Linked DNA regions of Nothobranchius furzeri. Each later gene encodes a partner of the first gene's protein in a complex. Links are inferred from orthologs where the notes say so. Each region holds a gene or a part of one and is shown in the gene's direction. Other genes may lie near its edges.

The links.
Region 2: stx5a (region 1) and stx18 share a complex: the UniProt entries of both Homo sapiens proteins name them as parts of the SNARE complex. The link is inferred for Nothobranchius furzeri from reciprocal best matches to the Homo sapiens genes STX5 and STX18.
Region 3: stx5a (region 1) and sybl1 share a complex: the UniProt entries of both Homo sapiens proteins name them as parts of the SNARE complex. The link is inferred for Nothobranchius furzeri from reciprocal best matches to the Homo sapiens genes STX5 and VAMP7.
Region 4: stx5a (region 1) and bet1l share a complex: the UniProt entries of both Homo sapiens proteins name them as parts of the SNARE complex. The link is inferred for Nothobranchius furzeri from reciprocal best matches to the Homo sapiens genes STX5 and BET1L.

The regions. Positions count from the first base shown.
Region 1 is NC_091741.1:87,974,106-87,977,954, forward strand, and holds part of stx5a (syntaxin-5a), read left to right. Parts: intron 1-1,732; coding exon 1,733-1,788; intron 1,789-1,876; coding exon 1,877-1,947; intron 1,948-2,056; coding exon 2,057-2,173; intron 2,174-3,849. UniProt on the Homo sapiens protein: Mediates endoplasmic reticulum to Golgi transport.
Region 2 is NC_091743.1:54,501,303-54,505,875, forward strand, and holds the start of stx18 (syntaxin-18), read left to right. Parts: upstream 1-1,654; 5' UTR 1,655-1,715; coding exon 1,716-1,868; intron 1,869-4,100; coding exon of another isoform or gene 4,101-4,188; intron 4,189-4,573. UniProt on the Homo sapiens protein: Syntaxin that may be involved in targeting and fusion of Golgi-derived retrograde transport vesicles with the ER.
Region 3 is NC_091741.1:28,155,557-28,158,336, forward strand, and holds the end of sybl1 (vesicle-associated membrane protein 7), read left to right. Parts: intron 1-809; coding exon 810-877; intron 878-961; coding exon 962-1,054; intron 1,055-1,162; coding exon 1,163-1,231; 3' UTR 1,232-2,078; downstream 2,079-2,780. UniProt on the Homo sapiens protein: Involved in the targeting and/or fusion of transport vesicles to their target membrane during transport of proteins from the early endosome to the lysosome. Required for heterotypic fusion of late endosomes with lysosomes and homotypic lysosomal fusion.
Region 4 is NC_091754.1:42,729,332-42,733,894, reverse strand, and holds the start of bet1l (BET1-like protein), read left to right. Parts: upstream 1-1,709; 5' UTR 1,710-1,936; coding exon 1,937-1,955; intron 1,956-4,245; coding exon 4,246-4,331; coding exon of another isoform or gene 4,332-4,335; intron 4,336-4,563. UniProt on the Homo sapiens protein: Vesicle SNARE required for targeting and fusion of retrograde transport vesicles with the Golgi complex. Required for the integrity of the Golgi complex.

The DNA.
Region 1 (3,849 bases):
GTTTAATTGATTTTTTTTTTCTTTGTGCCATTTCCCGAAGAAGCAGCGGGAACTACTCTGTTGTTGCTTGTGATGAAAGCCGGCAGGCAGCAAGGAGGAGGAGGCAGGGCAGGGTGGTTACAGATAGGGCGGATAAAGCATTTTTGATGAATACGAGCATGAAACGAGTAAAACTCATAAATATCTGTAATCGTGCTGAAAGAAAATACCCATTGGGTAACTGTCTTCATGCTCCGTGATTGGCCAGTCACATAGAGCGTCCGCCCCTCCCTACACACAAAACTCTGCAGCCGGGAGCTCAGTCCGGCCCAGGCATCCACGCACACACACAGACAGTAACGGATCTCTCTGTGATTGCTTCACTGTTGCTCACGTTTCTTCAGTACTCCCTAGGTTTTCTTCAGCTCGCCTCTTTTTCGGTTGAATATTTAAAGTTACCTTTTCCGTAACATACGTGGTGCATTTGACAAGACAGAGCTGAAAACGGCTCATGCTGCGTCGGTCACTGCCTCATCTCCGGTCGGGTTTTTTAAAATTATTTTAACTTTCTCTCTCTCTCTGTCTCTCTCTCATACACACACACCTTAATCAACATTGTTTTGTTTAACTTTGTGTGGGGAAAATGCCAACAACGTTAGGAAAAAATCAGTTTAATCAAATTAAAATAAAAACATTAAAAAGGTTTGTCTGGTTCTAGTATTTTAATTGTTCTAGTATTTCAATTGGGGTCAGTAGTTCCTACTGCATGAGTTTAGATGTATTAACTCATATACTTAAATATTAATGTTCTGATTTTACTGAAAAACTTGTTCTTTAATAGTTCCTTTACTATTGTGGTCAAAAATATTTAATCTAAATTCTGAGGCTGCTCTGTAAATAGTTTTCAAATAAACACACATAGCAACTTCTGATCAATCCATATCAATTTCAGATTTAAAATAATGTATTGATGTAAACCACACCCACTAATTTCCAAATAATAAGTAGGAGTTGCATTCATCTGTGTATCTCCTTTGACATTAGTGATATTTTCAGCACCAGAACAATGAAGCAAAGAAACCGATTCCTGAGTTTATGCTAGTAATTTTATTTATTAGGTGCATCTGACCTGTTCTATTTTTCTCTGAAATGAGATCAAATCAGTGCTTCTATGGGTTGTCTCCTCTCTGCACTAGAAAAATGTGCTTCATTATAATGATCACTGTAACGCATCTTGATGTTCTTAACAAATAAATTAAATCAAAGATATTGGTCAATAATGCCAAATATGTAAATTTGTGTTTCAGTCATTTTTATACTGACTTAAAAATACTTCATTAAGTCGACTAAGCAGGGGTGTAGAACGTTTTTAATAGGGCCAGCCCAGTAATGATCTCGGACCAAAATAAAGGGGGCAGAAAGTCAAATAAAGGGGGGCAAAAGGAGATGTTTTTCCAGACGCCAAGAAAAATTAAATGCCAAATCCCCCCTGCAAAGTGTGTCACTGAGAGTTTAAAACAAAAATTATTTTTGTGCAAATATTGGTGTATTCACCTTTTAATACTAGTTATTAAAATGCAGCAGTTGCTGGATTGGTGCAGTTCAAAGTGGAGTGCATCAAATAAAACAATATTAACATAAAGGTGAGACGTGTCATAATCCCCACCCACCACCACAACCACCACAGCTAGAAAAATTTCTAGGGGAAACACTGAGAACCAAAAGTAAGTTTCATCTGCTTGTTTCTTTGCAGGAGGATTGGGAAAGACTTAAGCAATACATTTGCCAAATTGGAAAAACTCACAATTTGTAAGTGATGGTTTTGTCATTTCTGCAGAAATAAATATTTTGTTTTCCGAAGTGCTGATTTTTGCGTGCTATTGCTTTGTTATTTCAGTGGCCAAAAAGAAATCTTTATTTGATGACAAGGCAGTGGAGATTGAGGAGCTAACCTACATCATTAAACAGGTAGGTTGAAGTTGCTCTCCAGCAGGTGTGAGGTTTATAAATGTGTATTAAAAATATCAGTTTTTGTTTATTAAAATACTGACTTTTTCATATGTTCTTCTGTCCAAAGGATATCAACAGCCTAAACAAACAGATTGCACAGCTGCAGGACTTGATCAGGTCCCGCAGTGCTCCTGGTGGCCGACACATCCAGACCCATTCCAACACTATAGTGGTCTCATTACAGGTACATTTTGTGTATTTGTAATATCTGATCTGCATATGGTATATTTCATATTTGTTCAAAATAATGGTTTAAAAAACTTATTTTAAGGTCTTATATCATGCAAAATCTACTTTTTGAGGGTTTTGACCATGTTATATTACTTCCTCATGAAAAACAACCCAAATTTATTTATTTTTATGCATGTGTGCATGCATTTTTATGTCGAAGCATTTTCTTTCCTTTAGCTCTGCAACTTTTTGCTAAGCTGTTTCATGCTGCTGGGTGGGTTATTGCTATGTCACGACTTTATTATCCTCATCTAGGTGGTTTTGAGTCTGCATCCCTCCTCCCCTGGACTGTAAACACTAACACCCAGTCTCTCCATGTAGCTAGCAGAGACTTTAATCTCCACAGTTGTGATTTCTTTCCTGTCTAGTCTGCACTTTAAATAATGCAGTCATTGAGTTGCACATGTCAGCTTGAACCTCTGGTCTCCAAGTCTGCAGCTGTGTGCTAATTTGAAATTCACATTGCAGGAAGCAGGGTTTGATTTAATCTGAGCCTCTTATTTCTGGGTTGAAGTAATGGCTCACAAAAATAACTTGTACTTTATAAAAAAAAACATCTCGATAGTGCTAACGGTAATGTTTCATCATACCTACCAGGGTTTTTCCTGCCTCAAATTGAGGCAGAGGTGGTACCACCCTGACCATGTGCCAGCACATGCATACTCTGTGCATTCAACTGCCTCACTTTTTAAAGGCAAAATATTATAAAAGGCTCAATAATTTTAGATTAGTGTTTAGTTTCCTTTTTCCCATCTGATATTTATAGTTAAAAATATTTTTAAATATGACCTATATTTCAGTAACATTTTAGGTTTGTATTAATAACACTCATCTTAGTCAAAATAACACAAATATATCCAGTAAAATATAATGCATTTCATTAACATGCATTTGTATTGGAAATGGTAATAACATTTAATTTCTGCTGCTAACAATGTAATGGTGGCATGTCTATTATGTACGGGTTAGGGTTAGGGGGTGTTCCGTTTTGCCTTGGCCCCCAAAATGCCTTGAAACGGCCCTGGGCGTGTGACTGAGTTTTGAAGGTGATCTGAATTGTATCAGATGTACAAATATTACATGTGGATAACTTATTGTTTTATACTGGTAAAAACGTGTAGTGGAGATAAATCTACGTACGTTTTACTTTCAAGCTTTGTTTTCTTGTTTTTATTTGACTATTGTCCTGTCCTGTCTGTCTCTCATCTTCCTGCATCTCCTCTAAATTCTCTAGAAAAGCTGCTGTCTGGCTTCTTACTTTTTCACCTCATCAGTTACTTTTGAACAGATCAAAGGGATCTCCTGACCGCAAAGCGTAGTGCGCATTTTGATGCTGCGTCAGTGAGGTGAAATCACCGCAGCACAGGATGAGCGGAGCGTGTCAGGAACGATTAAAAGACAGAGTACCAGAGGATATAAACAGATATGAATAATCATGTGTTAATAATAGTTTTGTTGTGCCACCTTGAAAATGTATCGTGTGGTGGACGCAGCGGGCGCACCAACGATCAGCGCTCTGCGTCCTCTCCACTCAACATGGATGTTAAAATAACATCCATATAGCTGGGGGCAGAGTGAAATCAGGATGGGGCGGCAGAAAAATAGCTGGAGGCGGCCGCCGCACAAATT
Region 2 (4,573 bases), on another chromosome or scaffold:
CTGGAAAATTGCAACTTGCCGTCTTAGAACAAACATTTCCAAATCCATTTGTTCCTGCAGTGTTGTGCAGAGTGTTTCATATGTTCTTCTGAACCAGTGAAGGTAGCAACTGAAGGATCAATAACTTCTGCTGTGAGTGATTTAGTGACATCTGTTGAAACTTCTATTGGATCTGGATTCAAGAGGAGCCAGTTGAGGTGGCTCAGCTCGGACATCTGATTCCTCCTGGACGCCTCCCTGGTGAGGGTTTCTGGGCACATCCAACCGGAAGGAGACCCAAGCAAAGACCTAAGACACGCTGGTGAGACCATGTCTCTCAGCTGGCCAGGGAATGCCTTGGGAATCCCATGGAGGATCTGGCTCAAGTGGCTGGGGAAAGGAAAATCTGGGCATCTCTGCTTAGGCTGCTGCCCCCCTGACCCAACCCTGGATGAGCGGATGAAAATTGATAGATCTGGATTAATGTGTTCCATCACAGCTTGGTTTTGTGTGATTATTTTCCTCTACTGTGTGATCATTTTTATTTTAATCACAACTGTAAATATTAACATGTATAAAATGTATTACATTTTTTACAATAATACTGCAATTATATTGCAGTAATTTCTCACTATCTATCCAATTCAATTCAAACATACTTTATTAATCCCAGAGGGAAATTGATTAAACCGATCACATTCTGATTAATACGGAAGAGGGTTAAGGCCACTGAAAAGAAAAAAATGAAAAAAAGACTATTCTAGCTTTTGTCTTAGAATTTAAAGTTTTTTATTCTCACATTTCCAACTTTGACAATTCTGAGGGGGAAAAAGTCATAAATCTGAGAAAAAAGTCAGATTTCTCTTTCTTTTCAGTTGCCCTAATCCTCTTCCACAGTTTTATTAGTAAGTTCAGGATATCCATATTAAATTCTGTCACCCGTGTTGTTGAATTTCCATCAGTTCAGAGACTAAAGAGTCCTGCTGACAGGTTCATAACGGAAACAACTGTTGGAGTCACGAATTGTTCAGCAGAAAATCCTTCTTTTGAGAAAAAATGTCATATTAGTTCTTGTAAAAATATAGTAATGGGCTCAGAGTTCAATATGAATTCTGCATTAGCGGCGCAAGAAGAAGACAGTCCTGTTCAGGTCTCGTTAGACATCCCTTTAACAGACTGCAGGGTTATTCCTCGAGGAAACACACAAAAACAAGTTAATTCTATCAGCTTTTCCTGACCCTCATTCACCAGGCACACCTTCTGATAATTTTCCTCCCCATACACTTTTTTTCAACAGCATGCTATAAAAATGCATTATTAAATTCTGCAAAAGCCTGGTATTGAAACATTTATTATATGTAATGAAATTGATAAATAGAGAAACAGTATAACATTTAAAATATACAGGATAATATTCAAAATGACCATGATTTAAAAAGACTTTCTCTTAATACTTTTTAACCTTAAATTGTTAATTTTAAGGGTTTTTCTCAATTATAAAAACTATTCCCTTAAAAAACAAACATCAATTAAACAATATAAGGTGGAAGGCTCACCGTATGTGATTATTATAAAGAAGCAAAATCTTTTTCATTTGCTGAAACAGTCCAAACCTAAATTCTAAAGCTCTCTTCTCCAGCTCAGGGAAAACCTGTAGCGTCGCAGGAGAATGACATCATGTTCGGTGACGTGTCAGTTTGTTTACCGTGTCGTGGTGCAGCTGCACACAGAGAAGCATGGCAGTGGATATAACTTTACTTTTCAAAGCGAGCGTGAAGACAGTCAAAACCAGGAACAAGGCTATAGGAGTGGGCTTTGAGTCTACAAAAGATGAGATTTTTAAGAAAAGCAAACCGAAGGGCGGCTTCTCACCGCGAGCTAAAGAAGTGGTGAGTGTTTTACCGCAGCTAGCGAAACTAGCTCTGACAGCCTCCATATGATCCTGATAATCGTTGTATGGCTTCTTAAAACAAAATTTACTAACGACTAGAATTCTTTTACTAGACTCTGAGAGGCAGCAAGCGCCTCTTATTTAAAGCAGAGGGTAAACTTTTCACCCGGAAACTTTTATAATAGGTATCTGTACAGTTGGCAGCTAATGCTACATTCATATTTATCCTGAATAAAGCCAGTTGAAACGTTTTAAAATGCACATAATATAGGTATTCGTTCAAGTTTGTTTTGCATTTTGGCCAATTCAATAAAATATGTTACATTTTAAAGTGAAAATTTAAAAAAAAGAAGTGGCCTAAATAAGTTATAGCTGTAATACAAATCTCAAGAACAGTAATTAAACAAGATAGCATGAATATTTAATATGATTTAGTGACTCTGAGATACATTTTACTCGTGATCATCTTCAAATCAGAGTGTTTAACTTGCCATATTCAATTAACTTGCTTTTTAAAACCAACTTCAATCAAAGGTACTCTTAAACCTAATATAGATTTTTTCTAAATTGAGTAACTTTTATCAACCTTTCTAATCAGTCATCTGTAGGTTTGATGAGTGTAAAAAAACCAGCATCTTCCTCAGTCCTTAGATGTAATTCACAATCTAGGATGTGCTCTGATCCGTAGGACCCAATCTATTTTACTTTTTTCAAAACGCTTCTATTCTCTGTTTATTTTCTATATTCCATGTTTTCTGACTTAACCATATTTTCTCCTAAAATGATTCATTTTATAGGAAATTAATAACTTCAACAAATAAAATCGTGTGTGTGTGTGTGTGTGTGTGTGTGTGTGTGTGTGTGTACTAGATATTGACAAGTTCAACAGAAAAATCAGTACAATATTAAGATACTTAACAATTTGATGTAAATCACTACATCAAAAATATCTCCATTTTTAAAAATTAAGTTTTACACATAGGTGTTCAGTGTGAGAAGAAAAATAAAAATGCCTCACATATGAAATTAAAATGTATCCATTTTATCTCCGCTACACAAGAGGGGGCCTATTTTATGTAATAAAATATGTAATTTATTACACAAAATAAGTAAGAAAATGGTCCATGACTCTGTCTGCAGTGTTTTACATCATGAAAATAATATAGTCCTTCATCAGCTATTTATGTGGGAAACACATCTCCTACACTGATAAGAATTAATTTTCATAAGACAGTGCCAAAGCTGAAACAAACACATTGAAACTATTAATTGCTTTGAATACACAAGAGCCAAAAACTTGAATTGCATTACCAATGAGATGTCTTTACACTTTTTTCTTTTCAATAATGACTTTGCAAAGCATCAAACTATCATCAGCTTTTAGACTGGAGCTTGACAGTAGACCCCGGAGTCAAGTGAAATATATATATATATATATATATTATTTTATTTTATTTTATTTTATTGCTTTGAATTTATTGCTTCAATGTGTGCAAACCTCACTAAAATCAAGGCATTGCAATAAATCAATTATTTAAAAAATATAAAAAAAAATTAGCACCAACATAATAACAAAGCACCATATAAAATAAAACTCAAAATAAAACGTTTCACTTGAACCCACTCATAAATAATAATAAATTATTAATAAATAAAAATAATAAATTGTAAATGTACAGGCTTATAACTGAAAGGCCTGCTGAGAATACTGGTAGAATTAACCCTTTAAGCACCAAAGTCGCATTATTGCTGCATTTTAGAAGCCACAGCTGCAAATATAATCCGTTATGAAGTTTTTGCTTTACACCAGAAGATAGAGATGTGTAACTTCAAGCTGAGCAACACTTTTGGGTGTTGCTATTAAAATTTTCTAATTTTATAAAGTTTGAAAACCTGCCCCCCTCATGTGCCTCTCTGCCTGTGAGTAACCAGAGTAGTTCTCTGTGTAGAGTTAAACAGAGGATGAATCTGGCAGGCCAGGCTACCAGCCATCTGCCCTGTCACAGGAATGTGCATCATTTAATTCAGCCACAAATTGAGGATGTACTAGCGACAATTATAGAATTTAATCGTAATATAAACATGTTTGTTATCAATGTACTTCCTGAACATGTGATGGTTTTTGGTAGATAAATTAAGAAAATTATGTAAATACAGAAATAAAGTTATTAGTATTAATTTAAATAAACTTCAATTTGTTGTCCTTTTTCTTTCCTAAATTGTGCTGAAGCATCGGATCTGGAAAGAATGTGCCTGTATATCATGAACAGAGACGTCTTCAAAGGCAACTTGAAGAAGCACTTTATGTTCCCCATGGGGTAAGAGGGCTCTAAGTGGTGCCCGATGGCTCCAACCATCAGCCTGAAGCAAACTTGAGCCTAGTGGCTCTTACTTCTGCTCAACCAGGTTTTTGTTATGTTCTGTTCCATTGATATTGGAAATGGCGGTTTAATAAAAGCACTGCTGCTGATTCCAAGGAAACCCAAACTCCTGTGGTTCCTGCCTCATGCTTCGCCCCTTCTCCTCCTGCTGTCTCCTCTGCTGCAGATATCATCTCAGAAAAAGGTTTATGTAGAAATTGAAATTGCGCATCTGGAATATCCTGACTGCTCAAAGTTATGTCGCGGTTTTCATCCACATCTCCCCAAATCTACTATTCATTCTTCTGTGTACAGCCTGACATATGCAGCATTTTTTTCCTCC
Region 3 (2,780 bases), about 60 Mb from region 1:
ATAAATGCCATCATAAAAATATTTCAGCTGTATTGGAGCTTCCTCGTACACCTAAAAATTTACTTGTTTTTGATAGATCTGACATTGTTTTTAGTTAATTTTCGACTGAAGTAAAATATGTGAAGGTTCTGCAGCCACCTGGCAGAAAAGGTGCTGCTTACCATTATTTATTTACTAAGTTTTCTGTTGCCTCAACAGGAAACTTACAACCAAATCAGTAAAATAAAGCTGCATCATTCAAAAATAAATGAGTATAATATGCATGTGTGAGAACACTTTTCCTGTGAGACACAATGGGGCCCCTAGGTGGCGATATTTGTCCAATCTCAGCCCATATTTGTGACAGCTTTGTTCACAGACTGACTTGATTCTTTGTCACTGATGTTGGGTTTTACTGTTTGTTCACTTGAATAGTTAATACGGTACTGTAGTCCTGGTTCTGTCTTAGCAAAAAGCTCAGGAGCTCCAGGCTATACCTGGCACTTAACCACACCACACGTTTACAAACGCACTAGTGCAGTTGTGACAATAATTATAGAACACATTTTATGCTCACTTCATGCCTGAGATGCTGCAGCTCAGAAAAGAAAAGAAGCTCTTTGAATTCTGAGCAAAAAACCATTTTCGTTGGAGTCATTTTGGGTTTCTAGTGTATTTTTGTTTGTTTTTTCCTCTCAAGTGAGCATCTTAGTGATTCTATCAGTTGGTGTGTTCTCCATGCTGTACCTGTTTAGTGCTTGAAACCTGAAAATGTGTGGATTACTGTATGAAAACAACCCTTTGATGGGGTCATTGTGCTGTTTTTACAGACTTGGTCGCTCAGAGAGGAGAGAAGCTGGAGTTGCTGATTGACAAGACGGAAAACCTGGTTGATGCTGTGAGTGGATTAGCTGGCTGCCATTCTTGTTTCTGAGCTAACCGCGAGATGGCTGACATCTTTTTCCTCTCTCTGCTCCGTCAGTCAGTCACGTTTAAAACCACGAGTCGGAACCTTGCTCGGGCCATGTGTATGAAGAACCTCAAGCTGACGTGTGTTATTGTACTGGTGTGCCTGGTAAGTCCAGGCTGCGGTTATTTGTTGTTTAGTTGGTGTCTTTTAGGAACTTGGAGCATTGTTTCTATAGTAATGTCTCTTGCTAAGTACACTGTGTGTTCTTTTTAGGTGATCATCTACATCATTGTTTCTGCTTCCTGTGGAGGACTCAGCTGGCCCTCGTGTGTCAAGAAATGAGAGGGGAGTGGGGAGAAAAGAGGGGCACAAGTGCCGGTTCAGCTTTGCTTGCCAGTGGACAAAAGGAAATTAAACATTCTTTCCTTTCTCCTCTTTTCTTCAAAAATTCTGAAAGATATGTGCTTTTTTTCCTCCTCTATCTTCATTCTCATTTTGAATGACGTCTGCACATTTATTTGCCTTCTGGACCGGGAGTTCATCTTTATACCTAAACTTGTGAACAGCTCCTACATGGCCCGAAACTGATGTGGAAGAATAAATCTCGTCTTTTTGTTCACCTGGTACGTTGATCCAGCGTCTTGGTGACCTGATGATCAGATTGTGATACTGTCTTGCACCCATCTGTGTAAATAGTCCAGTCAAACGTTATTGTTCTGATTTATTTTGATGCCATCCATAACAGAGCCTGCATGCGTCGGTAGCATCTGCTGCAGGTCGGTCAGGAAGTACACAGTGTCTGGTCCTGGGTTGTACAGCTGAAAGCTTTTTTTTTTTTGAATAATTTAATGCAGTTCACATGTTTTCTGAATTAGCTTTAACACATAAAATAAATGTTAAAAGGCAGAGTTGATCATACAAATAAATGTATATCTGATATTACTGACACTTGAGGATTATTTTAAAGCAACTCCGATCCTGTGAAAGAATTGGACCTTGTCCTGGCTGTGAACCTGATGAAAGGTTTCCCTTTGATCTTTTACGGGATGTTCAGCGTTGCCATCTTTTTCACTTAACACGATGCACTTTTCATATTGTATATACATTGTTTACTGGCATCGTAAAACATGGTTATATGATATTTAATTGTTGTACATTCAGATTTAAATTAATAAACTGATCACATATATCAGATTGAGACTTTCATCTGGGAGAGGAAAAAGTTTGCAAGTTTGTTGTGTTAGACACTGATGAGGCCCAGTCACTGAAAATGATGAAAATGCAGTTATGCGATGTGATTTTCGCGGTGGTGTTTGTTTAATGGTTTCTTGGCATGCGCGGGGGGCGGGGTTTTGCTTTCTGTTTTGAAACAGTTAATTGAATGTTTACCACGCGCTTCCTGCCACGTACGGCTTAACTTCGAACCGTTCGTTCATCAGGACTAAATGTGTGTGGCATTAAAACAACAGACCGGTTCAGTTATGGTGCTGTGGGATGGACCGAACCGATCCAGGTGGGACTAATTAGTGACCACTTGGGGTGCTCTGTGTGACAGCCACAGGTTAGTTTGAGTTCATGAAATAGGAATGTAAATGCCACTCGGACAGGAAAACCTGATTTATTTTGCTATTTTACGTTTAAATTAAACCTATATTTACCTAAAACTTAACTGTTGATTTGATAACTGAAAGTGAACAGATAAACGTGGCCGTTTGACCGCTGCTAGCATCATTTTGGGCGGTTTCGCCGCAGCAGTTCACACCGCTCACTGACCGCCAGCCTCTCCTGGTATGTATTTTTATAGCTATTTAACAAGACAGTAAGCTGTTAAAATATTCTGTTACGGGAACACAAATACACGATTTAATTATTTTTATTCAGGCGGTAGCAT
Region 4 (4,563 bases), on another chromosome or scaffold:
GGCAGCCAATGAAGTGATCTCAGAACTGGAGTGATATGATCGTATTTGCGTCTCCTCATCAGGACCTGGGCAGCTGAGTTCTGGATGTGCTGGAGCTTTTGTATGCTCTTGCCGGGGGCCCCAACGAGGAGGGCATTGCAATAGTCCAACCTGGAGGAGATAAATGCATGGACCAATTTCTCTGCATCTGGCTGAGAAAGAGAGGGACGGAGTTTAGCAATGTTTTTTAGGTGGAGAAAAGAGACCTTGCAGAGGTGGCGGATGTGGGTGTCAAATGTAAGATTTGAATCTAGTCTGATACCAAGATTTGTTACAGTAGAGGAAAGGGGAATGTCATGACCGAAAATGGAATTACTGCTAAGGGAGAGAGACTGTGTTTGATGTGTTTGATGTGGAGTGCCGATAATGATAGATTCCGTTTTATTACTGTTTAGTTTTATTACTGTTTAGTTGAAGAAAATTTGCGATCATCCATGCTGTTATGCTCATCTCCTCCAGGCAGACCTGAAGTACAGATGGAAGAGTTTTAGGTATAGTGGAGTCCATTTTCATGTATAACTGAGTGTCGTCTGCATAACAGTGAAACGATATTTTGTATTTATGGAAAATTTGTCCAAGTGGAAGCATGTAGATGGAGAAAAGGTTTGGCCCAAGAACTGACCCCTGTGGTACTCCACAATTTACAGTGTAGGGGGATGACTGACATTGTCCTGAAGCTACAAATTCCGTTCTGCCCGTAAGGTACTCCTGCAACCAATGTAGTGTGGTTGCCGAAAGGCCAACCACAGTCTGGAGTTGATTTAGTAAGATGGTATGGTCCACAGTGTCAAACGCCGCTGACAGATCCAGTAGGAGGAGGAGAGATGGTGAGCCCTGATCCGCAGTTAGAAGTAAATCATTCATAACACGGATCAGGGCAGTTTCTGTGCTGTGGGCTGAACGGAAACCTCAATTTCCCTACATGTGTAGCTCATGGGTGACGACCGGATGAACACATCGCGTTAGCGTTCATACTTGTTTAATTTTCAGTTTTAATTCTGGTGCCTGTTAGCAGCTGAAACACATCCTCACGTGCTTCTGGATATCATATATTGTATATGAAGACATGACTGTAACAATAAGTAAAGGTTATCAGCTGTAGATTTAGTGTGCTCATAGGAAACGTGACAAAAGAACACAAAACACATTTCTCTTTATGGCCTATATTGTTGTCATCATCAGCATAACATGATTCACAGAATACATGTGACCAACTAACATTTTATGTTCTACCACCGGATGTTCGGATCAAAATATGAACCAATCAGATCTTAGATCAGGTGAGAGACAGGCGTTTCCCGTCAACCCCAAGGTTTTGCAGCCGAGGGAGAGTAACTGCAGCACCTTGCTCCAAAATCTGCGGCCACTTTGATCTCACGAGGTTATCGTTGCCTACGTATGCATGACGTCAGACCAAGTCGGCGTCAAGTTGGACACAAATCTAACCGCCATGCACAGCTCGCCGATCACCGCTGATCTAATCTGCACAGAACTGGCTTATCTGGAACACGGCCACATATACTGCTTGCTTGCATTGCTTTAGGTATCTTCTGCCCCCTGTCGCCAGGGAAAATGCACACTGTCACTTTAAACTTATATTAAACCTGAAATTATCACAAAATATTGCAATCATCTGTATAGTCAGGGAGGGACTGATTTAAGAAACGTGTTCTTTGCTCATTTGGCATTTATCATTTAGTTGTTATAGAAGTATGATTTTTAAATGTTTTCAACTTTAGTTCTGAACAATAAATAGAAAATCTGGCTAATTAAAAAAATTCTAGAAGACAATAGATGGTTGTTTTGATTAAATGATACGACAACCTACCACAGCTGTCCTTAGACTGTTGGCGGTGATCACGTGGCTGAGCACCTGATCGTGACGTAGCTCACCAACATGGCGGACTGGAACAGAGGTGGGTTTGAATTTGGACACGTATTCACTTTTATCTTATAGTTTATTTGTGATGTTGATGGTTGAAATGCCATTTTATAGCGGTGCGAGGGGGACTGTGACGTCAGCAGACATCAGAACCAACGGTTCAGAGCCCGAACCCCCAGCTGGGCTAGCATGAGGCTAGCACTAGCTGTTTAACAACACCTTCTTCGCTGAGCAAAGCAGATAAAGCGATAAAAACGGGACGTTTCTCAGATTATGAATAAAGAAAAGACAATCGGAGGTTTAGCTCGTGGTTGACTTTCATTTAAATGGTGAAAGGGCAGACAACAACAGTAAAACAGGATTTGAGGCTTACTTTTCATATTTAGTTTTGTTTGGATAATTTGGCTGACATAAGATGGTCTTTATGGAACATAACCGGGGTTTCCTTTAAGTAAACCTTTCCTGAACGCACCACTAGTATAAAAAAGGTTTTAAATGTTACTTTTACTACGGAGCAGTACACACATGTAAGTACAGGTCACACAGCACCACAGAGACAGAAAAATAAAACAGAACACCTTTATCAGTCACGTCTTGAAGAAATGCATGTTTCACTCTAATCTGTTTCCCACCTGATTATGTTCTGATCCTGTTGCTGACTCTGATCTCAGTTCAGTTTTAACTGATAACACTTTCAAAGTAAAAGTTGGTGTCCTTGCTTTTTTTCTGTCCAGAAGTCTTTTTTTCCAGATCATCACTTTTAATGCTTTTCCTCCCAGCCGTGGACATTCTCTCCTTTTTTGACATAAATTGTTCAGCTGTTGCCTAAAGTGACCATGTGTAGTTTTCCTGGCGATAGGGGGCAGTAGATACCCGAATCACAGCAAGCAAGCATTATTTTTGTGTTCAAATAAGACCTTACCAACTGATGGCACTTAGGGTCAAAAATCCCTGGGAGTGCAACCTCCATCAAAATAACACCAGATTCCCTTTCATCACTAAACGAGTGAAGAGGTAAATGTGTAAAGCAACAATGTGTATTAATGCTCAAAGTTTATAACCACTTGTCACATATCAGTAAATGCATTTTGTCCTCAGACTTCCGTAGAAGGAAACATGGCATCCAATATGGCATCGCTCGGTGACAGGGTGTTTCTCAATGTGAAGGCACCTGGCTTTGCGAGGCGATGTCTTGCTAGGCCAGGTGCCTTACTTACGAGGACACTGTTCTTCCTTGGTCAAAGAAAACGTTTAAATGGAACAGACTTGCATCACGTGACCGCAGCTTCCACGACAGCCATGTAACATCACATGAAACGGGACATAACGATATATTTTATACGTATTAGTTTCAATATAAATATATAACGAGGTGTTTACTTTTAAAATTGTGTATGTTTATTAAATTAAAAATATAAGCAAGTTACTACCCGCTAGCCACCGAAGCTGCAACTAATAAGCAGCCAACCAACAATAGATAACTTCGTTGGATCTAAAAAAGAAACATTTTAAATTAGTTCTCTTACTTTTAAACTTGAAATTTGCCCCCGAAGTAGCTGCCGGTTTTTGATCCGCCATGCTTTTGAAAATACTGCGGTGTATTCTGGGAAAGTTTTGCCAAGGCTAGGCTAAAAGACACCTTCTGTGTATCCTTGCTCAGCTAGCTAAACAGCTAACTAACGGAGAACACACGCCTTGGTAGAACATGAACATTGGAACGCGTCTTGGCAGCTCCTGATGACGTATCTCCTAGGCAACCGGGGCAGGGTCAAGACATCAAGGCGAGGTTCCTTGGCATTGAGAAACACCCTCTGTCCCTTTCCAATGTATTTTACAACAGATCTTTATGGTAACTTGTTTTTAAACTGCCAATATTTTTTCAACAACTGTTTTAATTCTTTTACGACAACAGTTCGGTGGATATTTCCAGAGATTAAAGGTGAAAACTACACACTGTCACTTTAACAGGATCTTGTTCAAACAGCACCAAGCTTCGGACTTCGACTGGTTCTTTTCTAGTTCTGCCTGTTCCATTTGCTGACTGGTTCTTTTGTTCGTTCTTCGTATCTTCCCTGTCCTCTCATTGGATTTTCATTGTTTCATGTTGATCCTTTGAGTCTTTAATCCAACCTTTTATTTCAATTCTCATTTAGTTTTTGTGTGGAAAAAGTATTCCTTACGAACGAATGGAATTAACACTATTGAGATCTGTGTATTAACATTGTTTTAAATCTATTACAGACGAGACGTTTAGTTAGTGTGATAAAGCAGATGTTTGAAACCATCACAGAAATGTGACAGGTTGTATTTCTGTGCTTGTTCAGGTCACGGCTCAGTTGACGACATGCTGGATGCTGAAAACAAACGGATGGCTGAGAATCTGGCCACCAAAGTCTCCAGACTCAAATCTGTATGTGAGTCCGATGAGTTGATAGCTTTTCTAGGTGTTTGTCAAACTCACTTTTTTCTCAGCAGCAAGTCTTGGTCTTCCCAAAAAAGCTGTGAAGCAACTGAAACTTGTTCAGAAGTAGGGTTGTCACGGTGTGAAAATTTAACCTCACGGTTATTGTGACCAAAATTATCACGGTTTTCGGTATTATCGCTGTATTTTTGTTAACGTGTTACATTTTCAGATAACTAAA